2 linked regions of the Rhinolophus ferrumequinum genome follow. The protein of the gene in region 1 interacts with the protein of each later gene in a biochemical or structural test. Links are inferred from orthologs where the notes say so. Each region holds a gene or a part of one and is shown in the gene's direction. Other genes may lie near its edges. The genes, in order: AREG and S100A4.

Region 1 (12,339 bases):
TATGGTGCACCCCTGAAACTCATATAATATTGTATGTTCGCTATATTATTAATAAAAATCTTACAAATAAAATAAATAAAATGATATGTTTATTCAAATGTTACCTTGGCAATTGTGAAACAAAGACAGTAACTGGATGTTCCTGATTTGTTTACTCAACACTTGTTAATTCATTGCATTCATTCAACCAACATTGTGCCCATAGCCTGCACCAAGCACTGTTATTGGTGAGAAAGAAAAAAGCAGCCCCTGACACCCAGGAGCTTATCTCGTACTATTACCTTGGCCTTTGATGTTCTCCTGTTAAACGTAAATAATTTCCCAGAACATCATCGCTGAACAGGGCCACTGCGTGGCCATAATGAATTGTGGCAAAAGACCACTTCATAATCGTGTGTAAACACAGGCAACACATAAACATCGTCCAAGCCACAACGATGACCAAACAGCCTCCTATCCCAACTACTATGGGTGACTGCTGATTCCTGAACAAGTAGAGCTTTAGCCTCTCTTCTTCTATAGAACATTTATTAAGACACCCAGTCATAGAATTATGCCCACTTCCTGACACCTCAGCTGCATATATCAGAAAACCTAAAACAACAGTGACTTAAACGACATAGAAGTTTTTGTCTCTCATGTAAAAGAAGTGTGAAGGTAAAGAGTAAAGGGTTGGTGTGGCAGCTCTTCAAGCTCTTCATGTCTTTCTCTTCTGCCACTCTAGCACATACCCTCCAGATTCAGGGTTGGGTCCAGTATGATTCCTGGAGAGGCAACCAAGTGACCATATTTCAGGCAACCGGAAAGGAGTAAAGGGAGAAGCACGATAAACGTGCGGCTCCTACTTTCATCAGCTCCCTTCAAGAAGCCTTTTAAGAAATTCTACACATAAACTCTGCTTAAGTTCACCGGACCTCACTAGCAGAACTTAGTCACATGGCCACCATTATCTTTGAGGATACCCGGGAAACATTATGTTTTAGTTGGGCATATTGCCAGTGTGAATAATATCAGGGCTCTGTTACCAAGGAAAGATATAAGAATGGATATTGAGAAGAGTCTATGCCAAATTATTGATAAGGTAGTTAGTATTGAAAAAATAGCTCTTCCGTTTACTTCAGGGTCAACTGGGTTAGTTTATGGTGCAAAAGAAATTTCCCTCACAATGTATTCACAGTAGAAATGACCTGATTCTGCAGGAAATTATGGTGTGTTGAAATCACATGGTAGGAAAATATCAAACAGCTGGAAAAAAAAAAAATAAGGACCGGAAACTTCTATGTAGAGTTTCGATGTTTAAAAGCAAGTAATGCTCTGGAAAGGTCATGTCTGTGGAGTCAGCAGTGCAAGCAGTTTGAAACCAGACCTTAATAACAGGGCTCACTCTTTTGGCCTTCATCATTCTAAAAAACCTTTGAATTCCTGCAGGCTTATCTGTCACAGTAAGCAGAGGTTCTAAAATTAAGAAATCAGTTATAACACAATTTTCTTATTTATTTCTGTCCACAAATACACATTAGAAAAAATTTTATTGGAATCCATAGTACTTTTTTCATTGGTCTCAATATTATTGTTGTTATTATTAATAATAATAACAACAACACATTAGATATTTTGAGTGATTATGAAAGGTCAGATTCTGCTCCAAGTGTTTTACATGCATTATCACTTTTAAACCTGACAAATACTTTATGACTCTGGTACTCTTATCATCATCTCCTTTTTTAGAGGTGAGAAACCTCTAAAACCCACAAAGCACTTAATAATTTACCCCAGTTGGGAAGGGGAAGAGCTGCACTAAAACCCAGTCATCTCACCCTCAGAAGCTACAACCTTAATCACCTCACTCTACTCCTCACTACCTTACACGGCAAAGGACAACACGGGTGCTGGGAGCAACTAACTACACAAGGGTATGAAGGGGTGGGAAAAAGCAGAGGACCCACACGATCATTTTCTCTCACAATTGCATCCTCATTGGAGAAACTGATGTGACTGATTATAGAAATTGTGTCAAATCAGTTTGCTTGAGAAATCAGCCTCATGATTGGACTGGGGTTTTTAACTTAAAAAAATGAGAAGTAATACATAATCTTTGTACACATATTAGGACGTACAGATAAGCAACTGATTTCTCAGCCAAAGATAAACATTGTTAACATTTTTTATATATCCTTTCAGAATGTTTCTATGCACACATATTTATCTATATACACAGAGGGGCCGGAAAAAGTATACACATTTTAAGAAAGGAAAAAACTGTATTAAAATTATGATGACGGTAACCACTTTGAGCACCTCTTGTAATCGCAGAAGTCAAATGTGACTTGTATTCATCTTTTGTTATCAGTATATATTGAGTATTACAATTTTAATACAGTTTTTTTTCCTTAAAACGTGTATAAATTTTTTTTGGCACCCTCTGCATTTTCAATTCCTTTTTTTCTATGAGTTCTACATGTGTCTGTATTTTTCCATATAACTTCCAAATACTTTTTCTTTTTTTTACTCTGGCCATGTAATTTCAGTGCACACATTCAGAAAGATTTGGGGAATATGAAATACAAAGGCCAGTTTCTTTGTGGTTCAACCTATCTCTGCCTATGACCTACTGTACAGGAGTGGTCTATTAAAAAAATTAGTAATTTATTCACCTATGATATTTAAAAACTGCTGATCTAATTGAACTCGGAAACAAAAGCCAGTTGTGTTCATAAGTAAATACAACAAACTATATGTAACTTAGCTTAGCTTAGCTAAAAATTTATGACTATTTAAAGAGACTACCTAAACTCATAACCGAAGCACATTAAATTATGGTTAATTAATAATAGATTCATTTAATTCTCAGAGATATGCCTGTGTTGTATATTTTTAAGTAAGAAAAAGGCAAATAGAAGAGTTCAGAGACTATGAAAAGTTATCATCACACAATATTGAATGTGCGATAACTGAAGTGATAAACTACAAAATTAAATACAAGAATATAGGAAAAGCAGAAATGGAAAGATTAAGTTTTTTGGAAATAATAAAAGATCAAGGATATAATTTTTTAATGACTATAATTGGTAATCTGTAAAAATCTTTCATAGAACTCTGACCACTTCAACCATCTGACTTTAATATATTACTTTTCTGAAATAATAACATGCCAAATCTTATTCTGAAATCCTAATTTTAATGAAGAATTAATAGCATACTAAAATTTGACATGCTTCTTAATTCCCCGTCTGATGGTTACAGACACTGTTCTCTGGTCTAACATTCAGACTGGAGTTAGGGAAGATCCATAATAATTTAATGTAGATCTGATTCTATTTAAGTGACAAACTGATTCCTGAAGAACTAAGTGAAAAGTGGATTTTCTCTTTTCCATATATTCAGACATATTTTTATTACACGAAAGTAGCTCCCTACTTAAAGGAATAGTATCTGAATCAGTTTGTAACATGAGTTTCTTAGAGGTAAAATAAATGTCTTCATCACATTAACTTACATGTTTCCTGTTGAAATTTATTTCTCCATCTTTCACATTTCTAACGAAACTTCCATCTACATGAATGTGCAGGCCCAGAGGTAAGCAAACTCTCCGAAACTACTTTGACTTTTTTCGCCTAGGTATCTCCGAGTGGAGTTGTTCTTAATCAGAGGTGCACATCAGAATTTCCTTGAAAGTTCTTAAAAAAAATACACAGACCCAGGTCCCACACCAAGCCTACTGAATCAAGCAAGGAGAACAGAGTGTACATTTTGAAAAAGTTCTCAGGTGATTCTGATGTGCTGACCTTTGCTCAGCTGAAGAGAGCTCTTGGGGTATTTGAGAAAAGATTAGTGAAATGAATTCTTGTAGAACCCCCCAAATCCTCCACATTTTTGAGGCCCAATTCAAGGCCGCTGTCTGTTCAGCATCCCTCATTCTTCCTGTCCATGTCTATCTCTGTTCTTCCACAGTTATTATTATTTAGTAGGATAATCTTCTCCATTTTATTCTGCTATCTGTTTATTCTGTGAATTACTTAAGTGTAGGTCCTATCTTGTTATTTCTTTTTATCATCTTTCTCTACCATTCCAAGTTCTCTATATCACATATTTTCTTTCTTGGCACTTCTTACTACTGAAAATTCCTTTATGTATTGTTTCTTGCTTATTATGTTTTTCCCCTTAATAAGAACATAAGGTCCTTAAAAACAAGGATATTATGACTTTTTGAAAGTTCTCTCCCCACTACCTAGAAGAGTATCTAGTTCTCCAAATATACTTCATGAGTAGATGAACTATCAAGTGGATTCATTTTTTTTAGTTTGTGCAAATGTAGTTAATGGTATATTACATTTACTTACTTTCCATTATATCAAATCATCCACTGCCTTCAGCTCCATCTGCTAGGCTTTGCTCCATCATGTCAAGGCTGTAAAGGGCAAGTAATTGTATTTTACCTTTGTCAAGGTACCCAACAATCAAGTTCATGTAAAGAGAACTCTTTTTGAAGGAACTAGAAATCATATATTCTTCACAAGTAAATTCCAAAGTGAAAAGTAGAAAATTATAGATATTTAAATGGAGCTAAAGCATTTATTAATAATATAGGAAATGTTACTTATCCATTTGAAAATTCCTTAATTTTAGTTTGGGGTTTCGTGTATTGACTCATAAAAATGACCATGATGTAATACTTACTCAGACCCTGGGACTATCCATAAAAACTCAAGATCAATTACATGAACAAAATATAATTATACTTTTGGTTCTAAGGAACACCTTTTATCAGAGTCAAAGTGAGTTTGTTTGCATAATACATATCAGATATTATCAGGATCCAGATAGTAGGCACCAAAACGAGTGGTTGGCTAGAGCATTTGCCCTTAGGGCTTCCCTTAACCTCATACAAGGTGAGAGAACCACCAATTTATTAGGATAAAAAAGAGTTCCTTCTCTACTTGAATTTCTTGAAATTGTTCCTCTTTGTCTCAGCTTAACATGCATAATGTAAAGAATCTCACACTTACATGAGGTTGGTTTTCTTCTCATGCATATATTACAGAATGCCATGAGTCATAAAAAGGTAATGCCATTGTGATCCAATTATGATGATGCCCCATGTTACCCTATGAGGCACCATAAAATAGTCAAAATGGTTAGTCTCAATGTGAAGCAAGGACAGAGTTCATAGCTTGAAAATATCGAAGGAAATTCTTTTACTTGCTCTGTGAGTAGCTCCACTTATGTTACTTAATTCTTTAATGTGATTGATATAATGTAACTATCATAATGTCATGGTTAGTGATAATAGTGCCATTTCTTGAGCACTCACTATATGCAGGGATCTGTGCTACCTGTTTATGAATCTTCTCTCATTTGATCTGCTTAGCAGCAGGCAGGTATCTTTATTTCTATTTTCAGATGAGGAATCTTAGTCTTTCAAATATTAAGTAACTTAGTATGTGGTGGAATTTGTATATGAAAATCCAATTGGTTTGAATCTAAAGCTCATACTAAGCACTAACCATTGTGCCCCTAAGATGCTATGTTATATTTCATACCAATATAAATTATTACACTCTAAATTTCCAATTGGAAAAAGACAAAACAATTTCCAATGTAAAGAGCCCACTTTTATTTTAAAGAAAATAAAATATTTTCAATGACAGACATGTACAAATTGGAATCATCTCAATATGAAGAGAGAGAAAAAAAAAGGTAATAGAGGACTAGAACAAAATGGTAATCTATGAGAGTAGAAAGGTGCAAAAGTATAGGCTGATAGCCTGAACTCTAAACAAAATTTCCACCGTCTTTTGAAATCTCCTGACAACGTTCTGAATCTCTGAATCACAATCGCCTCATCCACCAAAAAAGATGACAATGCAGGCGTCTGCTTCACCCTTGCATGGGCAGTGTCATCTTTCCAGTCTTACTTTCTTCATTCTTGGTCACACCTTGTCATCAGGTATTCTTGCCATTTACATTTTCTGCTGGGAAAAATCAGTGAGTGTCCTCTCATCTTTCCACAAAGCTTTCCATGATATGAATGGGCAAAATAGAACTGCATCCTTGTTTTCTATGGCATTCTGAATCCTCATCATCTGATACAACAGAATTACTTTTCTGTGTAGTTTACCCACACTACATGGAACTCCTGCACAGCAGGGAGGTGGTCATCATTTAATCTCCGTCTTTACTGCCCCCATCCCACATTAAAAAAAAAACACAGTGGATTACACAAAATATGCTCTCAACAAATGTTGAACAGGAGAGAAGGCATGAGTCATGACTGCGTATTTCATCCTACTAAATTCAATGTATGATATTATTTAGCCTACTCACTATGATATGCCATTAAAAAGTAAGTAGCTTAAAAAAAGTTTCCCAGAATTAGGACATAATGCACTGGGACCCACATTGCTAGAAAAGCTGCTTTACTGGAAAAAATCAAGGAAGAGATACGTATCATTAGGACAAGTCAACTCTTAGAACAATGCTTTTGCCTCTTTGCTCTTCTTCAAGTCAAGAACAATCCAACTCTGGTGGTATTTCTACATCAAGGTTAGTCAAATTCTGCAGTTCCCTCCTCTTCATTTTATCTACTTGTCATGATTAAATGCCCGACTAGGTTCAAAATGGGCCTTTAAAGCTGGCCCTTTATCTCCAGTTTTGAAAGGAACAATCTTGGGCACCACCCTTCATCCAAGTGCCAATATGCTACCAGCAGAAATTATTCCTTTATGCTAAGTGTTGTTCTCAGAAACTCTCTTTTCAAAGATCAATTTAGTCTAACTTCTTTATAAGAGTAGAAAGAGATTTTAGAGTCAGATTAACTTGAATTAAATCCATCTGGCTTCTGCCATGACCAGTTGTGTAAAATTCTCCTTGCTTTGTTAAAGCTGCCATGTGTCCTTGTAAAACAGGTTAAGATGATACCCAGCAAGGATACTGAGTGAGATGGTGTGATATTTTAAGTGTATAGTTTGGCAATAATAAATATTAATTTTGATGAGAACCCTGGGCCACCTAAAAAAAAAAAATGGGAAGGGAGATGGTTTGAAATTCTGGCCATTTCACAGTAGCGGGTGGGAAAGAGCCCTTGGTGGAGACACAGGCCCATCATAAATAAAGCCGCTCCTCGTGCGGAGGTGCGCTCTCTCTGGTCATTTAATGAATTTCATGTATCCTTGTTAAAGACATTGGGCTATCATTAAATTACTCTTGGTTTTAAAGTACGTTTGCATCTTAAAAGGGAACTTCTCTAGTTAATCTTTGTTATGATATTAAAATCAACCAAAGTATATACGGAGGTTTTTTACGGACTTTGAAAAATTGGGACTTTGTCAGATTCTTAGGTCCTAAACACCACTCACTACCACCCTCGATTAGGATCTGGCATATTTTAGGCTCGCAGCTTGGGGTTTAATTTCCATTTCCTCCCAGTGGCTCTCTGCGCTAGAAGGAGGCGTGGTGCCTGCCATCCGTGTGTGGTTTTGGGGTAGTAACCTCTTCTGGGGCGGCGGCCGCCTCCACCCACAGAGGCGGCTGTGACGTCACGGGCAATACCTCGGTCCCCGCCCGCCCTATAAAGCGGCAGGTGAGCACCGCGCCTCCGGAATGTTCGCACGCCTTGTGCCTGCGCCCGAGTCGGAGCCCGGCGATCCCGAGGCGAGCTCCCGCTGCGCTGAGCGCCCGATCCCGGCGCGCCGTCGAGCGCAGCCGCTCACCGCCCCTCGTCCCCCTGGTCTGCCACCACCTCCTTCTCCAGCCCACAGCGCCAGTCTCCGTTGCCCCAGAGACCGCGACGCCGCCGCGCCGAGGGACCAATGAGAGCCCTGCTGCTGCCGCCTGCGCCGGTGGTGCTGTCGCTCGTGATCCTCGGCTCAGGTGAGGACATCCCCGCTCTGAGCTGCCGGGCGCTTCTCCCACCGCGGGCAAAAGCGGTCGCCTCTTGAATGTTGCTGCTTTAAAAAAAAAAAAAAAAAAAAAAAAAAAAAAAAAAGAGTCGCCCTTCGGTGTTCCCAACTCTGTCCCACGGGAGGTGTTCACGGTGGCCCCCTTCCTAGGGTTATTGCTTGGGAGAAAGGAAAGCGAGCACATGTCCCAGACGTTCCGGGCCAGAAAGAGAGTCCCGGAGAACCCCTGTACTTTTACTTTAGTCCAACTGAAGGGGACTTTAAAGATCCTGTGATCCAAACCTTCGCTTTACATACAGGAACCGAAGTCCAGAGAGGTGAAGTGATTTCTGCAGATCTCAGTGGTTAAGTCCTTTTCCCAGGAGTGCTGCCTCCTGCCTAAATTCTCCATCTCCTCTGTCTACTGATTTTGTTTTTATCTTCGTAGAAGGCCTGGTGTCCTCCCAGGGAAAAGTTAAAAGCACTAGTCTGACTCTGTTTTATTGAGACCTAAAGGATTATAAAGCAGGGGCTTGAAATTCTGGGTCCCAAATCTTAACTATTTCCCAGGGTGTTTTTCCCCTCTGTGTAAGAAGAATAGTGAAACAATGACAATAATAATCATTATTATCAATTACCATTTATATTAATGTTTACATTTTGTGTATATAGTCTTTTATAAATGTGAGCACGTGTTAAGAAAATCTGGTATTTATCCATTACATCTAGAACCTGCCTATGGTTCTAGATATAATGAGACAGGTGGCATTCTAGCAAACACAGATGCATTTGGTATGTGAAGTGATGGGAATATTTAGACAATACCTGTTAAGTAATTATGTATATTAGGTTAATTTGCCTATTTGGCAGTATTTTTTTTGATATGGAAATTAATGTAGACTGTCTACGGAAAAGAAAACCTTGATGAAAGAAGCTCTGTAATTGGAACAGCTGAGTTTACTTGTTGGCAAAACGTAAAGTTGCTTTCATAAGTGACTCAATCACAAACAATAGCACATGTGCAATAACTACTTTGATATCAGAAGATAAACATTTCTCCTGAAGGGCAGCTGACTGGTGAGAAAAGCACTCTACTATACCTTTTCTTCCTTTGTTCTTTCTCCCATAGCCAGTTATGCTTCTGGCTTGGACGTCAATGACACCCACTCTGCGAGAGGGGAGCCATTTTCTGGGGACCACAGTGCTGATGGATTTGAGGCTACCTCAAGAAGTGAAATATCCTCAGAAAGCGAAATTTCCCCTGTGAGTGAGATTCCGTCTGGTAGAGAACTGTCCTCAGGGATCGACTATGACTATGCAGAAGAGTATGATAATGAACCACAAATATCAGTCTATATCGTAGATGATTCAGTCAGAGGTGAGTAGCGAGTAAGTGAAAATGTAGCCTATCTGATGTGTTTATCTGACCAAAGCTGTTTCAAAAGAAAAGCCACTCCCAGCATGTTCTAGTGGCTTTCTGGTGTGTGTATCTGTAGTACACTCTGCTAGGTGAGCTAGAAACTGAGATGGAAAGAGCTATATGTGGACACATCCTATGTGTCTGCATGGTTTATGTCTATTAGGTCAAATGTTCACAACAACTTTATCAAGTACGAATTATCATTTTACAGATGTGATAACTGAGGCTTGAGAAGATTAAGTGTTCTGCCCAAGGTTCCACAGCTAGCAAGCAGATAAGCCAGAATGAGAACCCCTATCTGTCTGATTCCAGATACTATGCCCTTTCCCACTGTACCACGTGACCTCCGTTCTGAGAGACAGATATAGACACCAACCAGTCCTATCTACTCTGTATCTCAACTTCTTTATTCGGTCCCCATCACCACTCTTCCCTAAATAACTGCATTCTAACACAAATATGGGAATGAAAGGAAGGAATGGGACAAGAGCAACTGGACTTTAGCGTTAAGTAGTAGGTATTGAGAAACTGGTAATAATAATAATAATAACAATAATAATAATAATACTCTCTGGAAATATTAAAGGACAGATATGCATGGATTTTGCTAAATTTTCAATTTAACCCCAAATCCCAGTTGTCATTTCAATAATAGTGACCCATAGTTTTCTTTTCTTGTGATGTTATCTGATCTTTAAAAGGGAGAATCTGTTTAAAATAAGGGTACCAAAGTAAGAGGTAAGTATTGCTCAGTACCTTCATATTACTTTGGAGTTTGAGGACAGATGAGGTCATCACTAAATCAGATCTAAATATCCTAGGAGCATCCACTATGGAAGCAGGACATAAGGCCCCTTCTCTCCTGACCTTAGTTTCCCTGACTCCTCCACCTCTGTCTGGCTCCCAGAACTGTTAAAGGCAGAACTGATGACACCATAGAGATAGTGACTGGTTGGAAAATTCCAGTGAATGCTCCACTTGACTCCCTTGCTTTGGAACTTACACTTTTACGTACGGTAGGAAGAGGGTGCATTATAATGTTTACTTTTGGAGGAATGATATTAGACCATCCAGATTCTTAAAATTGTTCTCTTAAAAATGTTTCAAGCTGTTAAAAATTCAAAAGGCCAAATAAATTGTTAGTGGTGAAAATGGGTAGTGCTTTAAATTGCAATGCATTGTGAGATAAGAGTGAAAATGTTGGTTGAACTCCCTTGAAAGGCTGTAGAACCCATGGAGTTAATGTCTATTGCAGCACTTCAGCATAGTGACTATTTGCCTCTGTCTAAAATTTGTAACATGTTTGATAAAGTGCAGTCGTAGCCATTTAAGATGTTTCTACAAGTAGACTTTTTCTAACTCATGGCAGTTTTTTATCACCAGAGGAAAGTTTCAATATAAAAATTGCATATCTTCCTATTAAACATTGCCCCTAATTTGACTATTGTTAATGTTGTCATAATAACCAGCTAAAATATTCATAATATTTATTTGCAGTTTCCATAATCACAGGGTTGTATCTTGACTATCCTTCCCTATGTTTCTAATGTTTTCTATTTAATGGGTGCTGCAGGACCATTATGACTAATGGAATAAATGACATTATCATATTTGCTTCTTTTCACTGAGCTGTTTGCTAAATACTTGTTCAGATAAACCTATTCAGGGATTAGTAGAACAAAATGCACAGCTCTAGCATGGCAACTCCTCCTTCCTATATTTAACATGTGGGTAAACTCTATCCTGCATAACTGTAACACTGAACAAATGTTTCTGTGGATCTGAAGAGTTAAGATGAATCTCTGAAAAATCAAGTACAACTATATCTGTCTCCTATTTTTCCAAATAGATTGATCACAGAAATGTATTCCCTGAAAGGTATCGATTATAATCTGCTATAATATGGGAGTTGGAGAAAGTTGATTAACTCTAATGTAGATATCTGTTTTTTTCCACCCCCAGGTAATACACACTAATTCCCAATTATCATAATCGGCACTAGACCGATATAAGTAAATAAAATCCACAAATATACCCACGTCCCACTTTAATCAATGGCATTGACCTTTTCCATGAGAAAACACCGTGTGGTGAAGAAATAACAGGCTTTAACATCCCAACACTGCCATTTTCTAGTTGTGTATCCTAGGGCAATTTACTTGTCTTCACTCAACTTCAGTGTTCTTATCTGTATCATCTGGGTTACAACACATTCAACTGTGATTTGGGTTAAATTGAATAAATGCTCATTACCAAGAACTTGGTATAAATTAAAAATTCAACAAATGTATAAAATATTTCATGGATTTTTCTTAGATAGGTAACTCAAATAATCAATAATAACAACAACAATACTAATACTGATAGAAATAAATTCAGAATATGTTTCTAAGGTAATAACAAAGGATTCAGATTTTTAAGTGCCACACAATACAGATACTCTCTTTGCCCAATTATTGTAGATGACTTGTGTTAAATAATGAAACAAATATGGACATATGAGCTCTCACTGCTGGGAATTCATTCCCTCTTCTCCAAAATGATATTTAAGATCAAGAGAGATTGTTGTCAATAAATACATGTATTTTTAAATTTTAGTTGAACAGGTAGTTAAACCCAAGAAGAACAAAACAGAAACTGAACAAACTTCTGATAAACCCAAAAGAAAGAAAAAAAGAGGCAGAAATGGAAAAAATAGGAGAAACAAAAAGAAGAAAAATCCGTGTGACGCAGAGTTTAAAAATTTCTGCATTAATGGAGAATGCAAATACATAGAGCACCTGGAAACAGTAACATGCAAGTAAGTTTTCCTAAATTATATAGAATTCTGTATTTCTAACACCATGTCTGAAATTCCTAGCTGTAGAAAATCATTTATTTTTCTAATGTAAAAAACAAAGTTCTGCAAACCTTTTTCCTTAAGGGACAGAAAGTAAATATTTTAGGATTTTTGGGTCAAGATTATGTATGTACTAATATGACCAATTAAAATGTAAACATTTAAAAACGTAAAAACCATTCTAGGCTTGCCCACTGTCAGAA
Region 2 (11,411 bases), on another chromosome or scaffold:
TCAGGGTGGATGCCGGGGCAGGAAGAATTCAGAAAGCAAGGGAAGGGAGGCTGCAGCTCTGCCCCTGGCCAGCGTGGTGGCAGAAGGCTGGACAAAATGACCTGGTGAGGTCATTTTGCTTCTCTCCTCCACCTCACTTCTCCCTGCTGCCTTTGTTAAAGGGACAGCGAATGACTGTTGAGTGACTCAGAGACCCCTGCCCTGACATCGTCCACAGTAACAGCAAGGGACGCAGAGCACTTTGACATCCGAGCCTCAGGTAGGAATCTTCCCAATCCATTTAGGAGGGCAAGAAATTTAAGGCCCAAACAAGACAAAGGACGTGCTCGAAGTCAGGTGGCAAGAGGGACGTGGAACTAGGGGGGAGGGTCCGAGGAAGGGTTCTTTCCATGACGGTCCCCAAAGCGCCTGTACCCAGACCTCCCTCTCTGCCTGCCCCCTCCTGCCCCCTTCGCCTGGCTCTGCCCTGACCACGTATATAAAGATCCCTGGGCCCACCACCATTTTCCTTCCCTCATCCCTGCTTTAGTGTTCTCCCTGGCATTTCAACCCGTCTATTTACAGTCTATCACACACGTATTTGTTATTGTCTGTTTGCTTCGTTAGATTGTCATTTCCACGGAGCAGGGACTTTGTTTAGTTTACGGCTGCCCCCTCAATGCTGTGGACAGTTGTCTCTAAATGTTTCTATAAAGAACGAATGGCCCTTCGCCCTGCCACTGACGAGTCACGTGACCTTGGGCAAGGTACCCACCTCTCAGTTTACATTGATGCCCTTATCATGTGCCAGGCTCTCCTTATTTATGAGCTTTGTATGGATTAGCTCATTTAAGCCCCACCGCCATGCTGTGAAGTGGTTTCCATTATTGCCCTCGATGATTGACAGGTGAGGAAAATGAGGGCCAGAGCTGGGGGATGACTGGCTTCCGGGAGGTGGCTGGTGGTGGAGCGGGGATATCACAGACGAGAATAAATGCTTGACCTGGAACCGAGTTAATTGCGGGGCCACTCTGGCCCTCACTTCCGTGCCCAACTCCCCCTAATTCCTTGCCTATAAAACAGGGCTAATCACAGCCTGCCCTTCCCTCCCAGTTGCTTGCTCTCCTCACCCAGAGGGGCTGGGTCTTCAAGGAGAAAGTGGCACAGGCGAGGTCTGGGCACTGGGGGCCTGGGGTGACCTCAAGGTGTTATTGCTCTGGCTGCGTCTACGAGGAGCTCACCGCCTCCGGCCCTTCCCACACTCTTCTGGGTCCTGGCTTCTCTCTCTGTGAAATGAGGAGGGGTCTCTCAGGTTCAGGGGTGAGGGAGGGAATGGAGAAGTGACATGAAGTGAGGGGAGGAAAAAACTTTGCTCTCCCCGCCTCGCTTCTCCCCGCTGGTCTAATAATTAAAGCAACACGAGACAGATTAACAAGAGAAAAATAATCGAGTTTAATTACATACGTATGTGTGGGAATCCCAGCGACACGAGAGGTTCAGAGGCAGAAAGTTAAACTGAGGCACATATGACGTTCTGAGCGGAGGATGAGGTAAGGTGCCTTGGGGGCGTTAGAGGTAGGGAGGGTCATAGGCGCGACGATAAAAAGAGCAGGTGTTCAGTAATTAGATGTTTACACTGCCACATAGAAGAACTTTCTGGCGATAACTCATTATAACTCATTTACGTTGCTTAAGGGAGGGGTAAACGTTTCTCGTGGGCCCACAGGGTCTCGGTTGCTTTCAGCTCAAAATAATTCACCAGCCCAAGTGACACATCTTGGGGAGGCCTGTTCTGAACCTCTTCAGAAGGGATTTCCATTTTTGGTAATACGGTGGTCTGTGCCTGCTCCAGCTAAAAACAACAACAAGAAATGCGGGATAGAATTTGAAAAAAAAAAAAAAATCTTTTTCAAAGTATTGAATGCTGACAAGGCAGGAAGGAGTGGGAAGATCAAGCTCTCAGTAAAGCAGACTCCGGGAGGCGAGGAGTGCACCAGGGCTAATAGCGCCTGGAAGACATTGGCCAAACCGAGCCAAAATGACCTTTGGCTTTGACGGTTTGTGGAGTGAAGAACACAGAGCCGAAGCCCAGGGCTCACTCGAGGTGGGCAACAAGGGGGACACTCCCCATCATACTGGGACCCTAAAGGGCTACTTGCTTCAGTTCAAAGCTGAGGAAACCCACCCCACCCCATGGGATCACAAGGAACAGTGGGGCTGAGCTCTAGTCCCAGGCAGCCCATGCAGGAGTCTGCAGCCCACCTCCACGCACAGCACTGTGGGAGGGGGTCGGGGGGGAGTGTAGCCAGAGAACTCAGCCTAGACGGACGCAAACGCCCCTAGGAGCAAAACACACCTTCCTCCTGTGCCTCAAAGTCATCCGTGGGCATTCGGAAGGATCCCCAGCACGTGCCATCCCTGGCAGGACATCATTTTGAGCTGAAGACAATGGAGGCCCCAAAGCCTAAGAAAGTACTTTTACCTCCCCTTTAACTGTCTGAAATAATTTAGGTAAAGGGCCTGGTCCAGGAAGAGCTCTATCCCCAGAGAGATCTACAAAGAATGGGGGTAGGTGTGTTGAAGGGGGGCTCAGCTGTGATTGGAGCCAGAGTCCTCTCTGAGTCCCTCCCTGACCCTTCCACATTTGCTTTTCCATCTCCATGTGAATTGTCTTCCTCCTTTTTGAAGTCCCAGATCCCTAGCCCCTTCTCCTTAGTTCAGAAGAGCACATAAGCCCCTGTCACCTGACTGCCTGTGGGCCCCGTATTCTTATGGAGCACCCCCCACGTAGGGAATGAAATGTGTTACTCTGTTAATGTGTCGTATGTCAATTTGAGTATGAGACCAGCCCAAGACCCTGGAAGGGTAGAAGGAGACTCTTTCTTCCCCAGCACATCCCGCAGCTGCCCTTCCCAGGGAGGCGAGCAGTTGGCAGCCCACAGCTACCAAACACACATCTGGGGATCAGGCAGGTGTGTCCCATGGCCTCCGTCTTCTCACCTGTAAATGAAGGGCTTAACCAGATGCTCCAAGAGGGGAACCCCTGGCGCAGGGGTTCTCTGGGGGCATAGATGTACGCCAGGCTAGAGTGTGTTCCCACATTGTATTACGGGGTGTCTGTTCAGAGTGAGGAGATAGGGAATGGATCTGATGGACTAGCCCAGCCTGTCTCCTCCAGCGACAGAAGGGGACAGGCAGGAGGCTGTCCCCAGTTCCCAGCTCTAGGGGAGGGCGGAGGGGGAATGAAGGGGTGCAGTGTCTGATGCCCAGACTGGGTCTTTGATGTGTGCGTGGATAGGTGGGCGGCCGGGCCTGTAATAGGGACTGCCAGGGAAGGAGGCAGGGAAGCCCCCGGGGGCACCCTCAGCTTGACCTACTTGGGCCCCCCATAATTGCCCTCTTCCTTCCCTGGGAGACTACAAATAGGGCTGCCCTGTCTCTAGGCTCCTACAGCTGAACCGCCAACCACCAGGGGTGAGTGCCAACTGCTTGGGTCCTGCTCTGGACTGGGGGTCGGGCAGTTCAGGGAGGGTCCCCTGGTCCCGGGTGTGGGCACGGGGGCAGAGGGATGACCAAAGCTGGGATTGATGGGGTGAGGGAAGTCACAGCTTCTCTTGTACGGTGAGGGGCTGTCGGGAAGGTTGGGTTAGGGGCGTGCAGGGCTGAGGTCTGGCCCTGGGGAGGGGCCAATGGGCTAAAAGCACTGGTGAGACCCTCAGTGAACCCCCTGCAACTCCCCTTGCCTCCGTCCTTCTTTCTTCCAACGGGTTGAGACAGGCCAGGCTGCATGGGGAACAACAGATTCCCTCGGGTTTCTAGGCACCTAGCTTCTGGAAAAGCAGCAGTGGTGGCGCCAGGCAGGCTGGCAGGAGCCCAGAGGGGCAGCTGAGCACCCGTGAGGCTTAGTCCCTGGGATCAGGGCCCTTTCCTGTCCTGGGAAGGTGGACAGCCTGCTCCAATCCTGGGCCGGCACAAAGAGTCAGACCCCGGGGGGTGCTTGGTCCCATCACCCCCGCCTCCCCCTTTCCATAGCCACAACCGTGCTGGCCATTTGCTGTACAGGGCCCAGCAGAGGGGGACTCATTAGAGGGAGAGGCTTGGCCCTGGCTGCCTTGTTACAAGACTCCTGTCCCCTGGGGGAACCGAGTGAGTCACCGGGCTCACATGAAAACAACACTTGTCTTCCTGGCTGCCTTCGGGTTTCACCAGGCTGGAGGCTCTTCCCAGAAGGCGATGCAAGGGTCCAGTGGAATGGGGTGGAGTGGGGTGAGGGGGGCAGTGCCATGAAGGGCTTCCCCTCTAACAGAACAGGGTACCCTAATGCTGAGCCTCCTGTCTCAAGACCCCCAGGGGTCCGGAGGGTGGGCTCAGCTGGGGCAGATCACAGATTGGTAAATGCCTGAGCTTGCTCCCCGACTAGGCCTGTGAGGTGGGACTGACCCCACTTTACAGATAACGCACCTGAGACCCAGGTCGGAGTAAATGGCTCACCTGGGACTGCACACCTAGTGAGAGGCAGGGGGCATTTCCTTTGGATGATGAGTCCCTGAGTTCGGGGGAGGAGGGATGGTGAAGGGTGGTGAGGTGGTGGGAGCTCCTCTCAGACCCGACCCTCCCTGACAATGCCCGGCTCCTCCAAGGGCCTGAGAACAGGGAGAGCGGGCAAGGGTTGAACGAGTTCCTACAGAAGGAGATCTGGGGTCCTGAGAGGAAGGAGCCTTCCAGGGTCGGGAGCTGCTTGTCATGGCGTGGTGCAGAGTGGGACTGAGTCCTTCCTGGGTGCTGGGGATGAGAAAAGGTGGAGAGAATCAGGGAATCCTCTGTGGGGGGGTCGGGGGAGGGCACTCTCCCTGAGGGGTTTGCAGTGATGTTGGGGAAATGAGACCTCTGTCCAGGAAAATAACAATGGGGGCACAGCACAGAAATAGATTAGCAGGTGCTGGTGTGGTCAGGGAGGGCTGCTCAGAGGAGGCGGGCTTGTGTGGAAATGAAGACAGGTCTGGGACAGGCCCGGAACATGGAGGGCAGAGGTACAGGGCGGTGACCGGGGCCTCTGCTATGGGCCACATCTTTGTTCTGTGACAGTGAGAATGGCCAGGCCTCTGGAGCAGGCGGTGGCTGCCATCGTTTGCACCTTCCGGGAATATGCGGGGCGCTGCGGGGACAAGCATAAGCTGTGCCAGGCGGAGCTCAAGGAGCTGGTGCAGAAGGAGCTGCCCACCTGGACCCCGGTGAGCCCCTGGGGTGCCCAGCCTCTGGGGAATACCGCTTGGACTCTGCACAGAGAGGCCTGGGACACGCTCTGAGCAGAGGACAGCAGGAAGTGGGGGAGGCCAGACCGTGGGGCGAGGACACCAGGCAGGAAAGTGACAGGGCAGGAATCGTTTCCTCATCACACGTGCCGCTTTGCAGGGCTGCTGGAGGATGCAGTGAGAGTACAGTAAAGAAACACACAGGAGGCCCTCAGCAGCCATAGTGGGTTGCTCCACAAATAATCTGGGAAGGAGAATGGGGGGGGGCGGGGGTCGGCACGGTGAGTTATCAGAGCAGGTCGGCCAGGTTGGGCCCAGAAGGGCTGTGGGTTGGGATGGGTGGGATCGCCCAGGAGTAGGGGGAGGGAAGCAGCGTGTGTGAGGCATCCTGCCCCCCGTGGCCCCCTCCCCCACACAGACGGAGTTCCGGGAGTGTGACTACAGTAAATTCATGAGTGTTCTGGACGCCAACAAGGACGGCGAGGTGGATTTCGTGGAGTACGTGCGCTCACTGGCCTGCCTCTGCACCTACTGCCATGACTACTTCAAGGACTGCTCCCCGGAGCCCCCCTGCCCCCAGTAGCCTCTGCCGCAGGGTCTGCCCGGGACCTGCTCCAGCTCTGCCCTGTGGGGTCCTGGGCATGGCACCCATACCCCCTGCCCTCTCTTCTGCATCCTTCTCATGTGGAATCTCCCAGGTCTGCCCCTGATATCCTAACCCCTGTTGCCTGGGGCAGGGACCTGTGAAGGGACCTGTCCCCAGGATCACAGCTAGTGACATGCAGAGCGGCCACCCGCTGCCTCCCGGCTGTGGTGTGTGATGGGAGAGGCAGGGGCGCTTTGAGACTGCCCAGGCCCCCCAGAGCATGTGCACGAAGGAGGCCCTGGTGGGAAAGGGCCTGCTGAACTCCCAATAAAGACCTGGTGTCACTCGGTGTGCTTTGGTTCTTCTTACAGGCCAGCCGGGGGGCAGTCCTGCGGAGGTCATGGCTCCTCTCTGGACTTTTCCACTGGAGGATGTCACGGGTCCAGCAGGAGGGGTGGGATCCACACAGACCGTGTTGGGCTCTCTCTGTCTCTCTCTCTGTGTCTCTCTCTTTGGGAGCCAGAGGGCAGCCGGAGCTTCCCTGGGGATGGAACTCAGTCCTCATGACAGGATGATCTGAACGGAGGGTGGGGCCCTGGGTCTGGGGCGGGGTTGTTCCCTGCCCCGGGCTGTGGGCGCCCAGAGTGGCACTAATAGGATTAGGGCGCCTGAGGTCTGATTAGGGTGCTGTCCCACACCGGGGAGGGGTGCCTGGCCTTGGAGCGGGAAGAGGAGCCCTTGAGGCAGACTCCACGCCCGAAACCACCCCCGCCTGAGGAGCTTAACCCCCACTTCTGACCTGCTCTCAATCCCTGAGTTTATACCCCACCCAAGGGGTGAATCCCCCATTTTGGGCCGTTTCACCCCTCACTTCCCACCCTGTTCGTCATTCCTGACGCCCAGCACAACTCTAAACTCCCGTTCCTGACCTCTGCCCCTCCCCGCCTGCTCTTAGTACCTTCACACCGTCCCTGAGGCCCACACCTGCCTCCCACTTCCCACTCCACCTCTGTCTCATCACTGGCAAGCTTGGTCCCAGGGCCTCCTTTGGGGGATACCTGCTTCTCCCAGCCCCCCAGCTCCTGCCCTGGGCCTCACTCAACATGGCAGAGAACACTTTGGGGAAGGGAGAAAGGCAGTGTCAGCTGTGCCAAGCGCTGAGCTTGGGGTCCCCTCCCTCAGGGCAATTTCCCACCTGTCACCCACCACCCCTGGACCCCCTTTCCTAGCTGCTGGGTGGGACCACTTGCTCCCTGTCTTCTATGCTCCAGGCACAGACTGTCCCTTCCTCCAGTTCCCTAAAACTCAGGCTGAGCTGTGTACACTGGGGGGAGGAGGGGTGGGGCTGAGGCCCCTGCCTGCGCCCACTGGGGCTCGCCCATTGTCTGTGGCTGCCAGGGGCAGGGAGCTGCATTTCTAGGCTGGGCTGGTGGGCGGGGGGCGGGGAGGGGGGCCTGGCATGCATCACACAGGCCGGGCAGAGGGTTGTCTCCCGTTCTCCCCCATCCTCTGCCATGGGCAGGGCCTGCCCAGGGTATAAATAGGTCCAACCGCTGGGCTCTCCCCATTCTTCCTGTCTCCCCAACCCTCTCTTCTCAGCGTTTCCTCTCTCTCGACCTGGTGAGTTGTGGTCGCATGACTGGCACGCATCGGGTGTCAGGCTGAGGCTGGGACAGGAGAAGGGGAGGCTGGTGGGGGCCAGATGTGCTAAGTGGGTCCAGATGTGCGGTTCCGATGTGGAAGCTCTGGGGTGGGATGCATGTGTGCGCGCCCGTGCATGAGCAAGGGAGAACGGAAACAAAAAGAAAGACGCGTGCGGTTGGCTGGATTCAAGCTCTCTATAGTATGTTGTGTGGCTGTAGTGTTGTCCTGGTGCATGTTTGACTCGTGGGTGCGCACATTGGCTTGTGTTTGCTGGGCTGCACAAGCCTGTGTGTGCACACTCGGGTGTGGGAAGCAAAGTGAAGTCAGAAGGCAACCGTGGGCTTTTGTCTGGCAGTGTCCCATCAGCCTCTGGCCAGCTCCAGCAGCCCAGCCCAAACTTGGCCTCCCCGGCCCTCGCCTGCATCCCTGCCTCTGCCACCTCACCCTGCCCTCCCTACGCTAGACCCCGGGTTTTTTCCATGCTGGGCAGGCCTCCAGCAGCCTCGCCCAGCATTGGGGGGGGGGGGGGGGGCGGGGAGAATGGGCTGGGCGGGCTGCTGTGGGCTGAGCTGTGGGACCAAAAGGACTGAGTGCGCCCTGGGAGCTTGCATGCTGAAATCCAGGGCCTGCATGCCTGAAATCCAGGAAGTGTTTGCTGCCTGAAGCATGCATTTCCCATGGTGCACGCCCTCCCCACCAGGAGCTGAGACCCACCTTTCCCAGCTCCCCCTGTGGCATGGGAGTGGGTGGGGCATAGCTGGGGTGGGGTGGGGAAGATAAGGATGCCTCTGTGACCCCCAGATCCTGACAACCACCATGGCACAACCTCTGGAGAAAGCCCTGGACGTGATGGTGTCCACCTTCCACAAATACTCAGGCAAGGAGGGTGACAAGTTCAAGCTCAACAAGTCGGAGCTAAAGGACCTGTTGACCCGGGAGATGCCCAGCTTCTTGGGGGTGAGTGGCTACTGCCTGGAAGTATGTCCCCCAGTGGTGTGTCCCCGTCAGAGGCTGGACAGGGCCCTGGGAGGCACCAGTCTTTCTGCAGGGCAGTCATTGCCGCGGGCATCTGTCACGGAGGCGGGTGGAGACGTGGTGAGCACCTGTCACTCATTTCCTGGCGCCCAGCAGAAAAGGGGGCTGAGAACGAACAAGCTGTTAGGGACCAGGCAGTCGGCCAGGGGCTTGGCACGACCGACCAGAAGGGCAACTCACGCTCTGAGGGGCTAAGGAACTTCCCAAGGTAGTCAGCGTGCAAAGCTGAGGTCCACGAACCAGGGCGGTCCACCTCTTGCCATCACTGCAGCAAAGAACCATTTTTTGAGTTTCTATTTGGTTTTTACCTGTGAAGAAGGCACAGTTACGGAGACACTCACACGCCTATTTCCCCTGAGCAATCCTAGCTCCATCTGTATCAAACTTTATGCAACTTAGACATATATTGCTTTCATGACGATTGTCCCCCCGGGGGAGAGATGTGGTCCCCTTTTCCAGTTGCATCCAGGTACTCTCCCTCCCTAGCTTGGCCCTGAAGACTGGAGTTCCAAAGCTGGGCCCCCCAGGAGTGGCTGCACCTGCCTGAGCTCCGTCTGCAGGAAGAAGCCTGCTCTAGTTTTGGCTCTGTCCCCAGACTCCCGGTTTCTACCTGTAACCTCTCCCCCTGCAGAAACGGACGGATGAGGCCGCTTTCCAGAAGCTCATGAGCAACCTGGACAGTAACAGGGACAACGAGGTCGACTTCCAGGAGTACTGTGTCTTCCTGTCCTGCATCGCCATGATGTGCAATGAGTTCTTCGAGGGCTTCCCTGATAAGCAACCCCGGAAGAAATGAGGGCTCCCCAGATGCGAGTGGGGGGCCTGCCAGCTGGGGTCCACCCTGGGGGTAGTGGGCACAGAACCTCACTCGGGCTTCTTCAGACATGTGTACGATGCTGAGCAAGTCAATAAAGATTCTTAGAAGCTACGAGGCTGATGGTCTGAGACTCTGTGGGGGTGTGGGGTGGAAGCTGAGGGATTTGGGGGGGTGCGGGACTCTGGGTGTAGGCTGCAGTTTTGTGGAGACTAGTGAAGGTGGGGGAGGGATGTGGGCTGACTGTGTGTGTGTGTGTGTGTGTGTGTGTGTGTGTGTGTGACAGCATTGACTCTGAAGAGACCGGGGGCAGGAAGGGGGCCCCCAGAGGCTTGGACCGCCCGAGCTGTGGGACCTTATCCAAAGCACCCGCCCCTCCCACCTCCCTCACCTCGCCTCTGGCAGGACCTCTAACTGAGGCTCGGTGGGATTGAAGATCACATCTGCTCCTGGTTGGGGTTTGGAAAGGAGTTTGGGTGCCCTGGGGGTGAGGTGGGGAAAAGGGCTGAGTCACGGGGAGCAGCGAGGCCCGTGTGGAATGTGGAGAAGGGCTCAGTCCCGCCGTCCACAGCCCAGGCCCTGCCCTGCCACCGCCCTCCAGCGCCTTGGCTCCCAACCCCAGGGGGATGTCCCCACAGATCAGGGAGGCGCTGTGGGGGTGGCCAGGCCATTGCAGCAGCCTGAGAATGTGTCCTTCTCCAACCCCCGGGTCTGCCCCAAAGGCCCTGCGGTGAGTGACATCTGTTCTTAATTATTAATCATGTTCTTTCAGAGAAGGACAAAGGACCTTGGAAGGGATGAGTGGAGGACAGTGGCTGGGGTGGGAGAGAGGGAGATGGTGGGAGGCGACTGTAATTTTGGAGACAAAACTCCAGACACAGAAATAAAGTTGAGATTCCCCACCCTCAAGAAAATACCAGGCACGGGATTGCTTCTCCTTAGGTTAAAAGCCAGTAGCCCAGTGTGCAGTGGGGACCGCTGAGGGTAGGTTTCCAGGCCATGCCTGGGTGGGATGGGGACCTTTGGGAAGAGCTGAGTAGAGAGGGCAGGTCCAGAGGCAGGAGGGTTGGGTCCCCGTGACCGTTGGAGCTTTGCCCTTTTCTTCTCATCACATGTGTTGTTCTCTCAAGTTTCAGAAGAGTTGGGTAGGTGACTCAGATACTCCGTCAGAGTGTGACTACAGAGACTTGGGTGGAATTTTAGTCCAGGAAAAAGTGTTCCTCCTCCCTCTTCTCTTTCCTCATCCATGGGCGTGCGCTCGCCTGAGCCTCCTGCATCACTCTCTACCTGGGAACTCCTGTTGCTAGGCGACCAGTCCTGGCTGCCTCTCTAGTGCAGTGCGGAGGATCCAGGCAGACTAGGGTGGGGCCGCAGCAGCCGTAGGTCCTAGACCCCTCACTCGGTCCTGTTCTTAGACTTGGGCTGCTTGGTGGTAGAACACTGTCTGAGTCTCTCCTGGGTCCCAGGCAGCTATCCCTGACCCCTACCCGGTTCCTTATTGCGTTGGAACCCGCTCTCCCCAGTCCACAAGCTCTACCCCATCCCTAGGCCCTCTCCTTCCCTAACCCCCGCCCCAATCCCTGTCTCTCAGCCCTCCATTCCAACGGTCTCTGACGATTCTTTCCCAGGAAGATGATTGAGGTTTAGGAGAAACCATTTGAAAGCCCTTTAAAACCCTCAGGCTCCCGACCAGCTAATGACCTTGACCTTGACCATGCCCTTGGCAGGAAACATCGTCCCCCACTCATTCCCCCACTGGATTCGTCCCCAGTCCTGTCCCAGGAGGCTCTGACCTGGGTCTCCTCGTGTCCCTGGCCTCTTCTCATTGGCCCTGCCCCTGCCCTGGTTTCCCAGAGACTGGAGAGAGGGAATAAAGGCAGAGAGCAGTGGGAGTGAGCCTACTTCTGCTGCCTGGGTTCCCTGGCTTATTTCTTCCTCGGTGAGTCCTTCTGTCTAAGCTCCCTACCTGTCTATATGGTGGGGCAAGCTGGGATGAGGCCAGGGTGTGAAAAGCCGTGGTGACCTCCACCAAGGAAGACCCAGCTCGATGAGTGGGGCACGTGCTCAGGGAGGAGGGCAGGGAATTTGGAACTGTGGCTAT

Evidence for each region.
Region 2: the proteins of AREG (region 1) and S100A4 form a complex in vitro, tested with the Homo sapiens proteins (2 studies listed by IntAct, with this or other methods). The link is inferred for Rhinolophus ferrumequinum from reciprocal best matches to the Homo sapiens genes AREG and S100A4.

The regions. Positions count from the first base shown.
Region 1 is NC_046288.1:31,186,910-31,199,248, forward strand, and holds the start of AREG (amphiregulin), read left to right. Parts: upstream 1-7,600; 5' UTR 7,601-7,808; coding exon 7,809-7,869; intron 7,870-9,006; coding exon 9,007-9,255; intron 9,256-11,895; coding exon 11,896-12,097; intron 12,098-12,339.
Region 2 is NC_046305.1:52,504,076-52,515,486, reverse strand, and holds S100A4 (protein S100-A4), read left to right. Parts: upstream 1-7,280; 5' UTR 7,281-7,437; intron 7,438-8,262; 5' UTR 8,263-8,277; coding exon 8,278-8,418; intron 8,419-9,127; coding exon 9,128-9,292; 3' UTR 9,293-9,424; downstream 9,425-11,411. Other genes in the region: S100A3 (protein S100-A3), read left to right, coding at 5,070-5,210, 5,650-5,814. UniProt on the Homo sapiens protein: Calcium-binding protein that plays a role in various cellular processes including motility, angiogenesis, cell differentiation, apoptosis, and autophagy.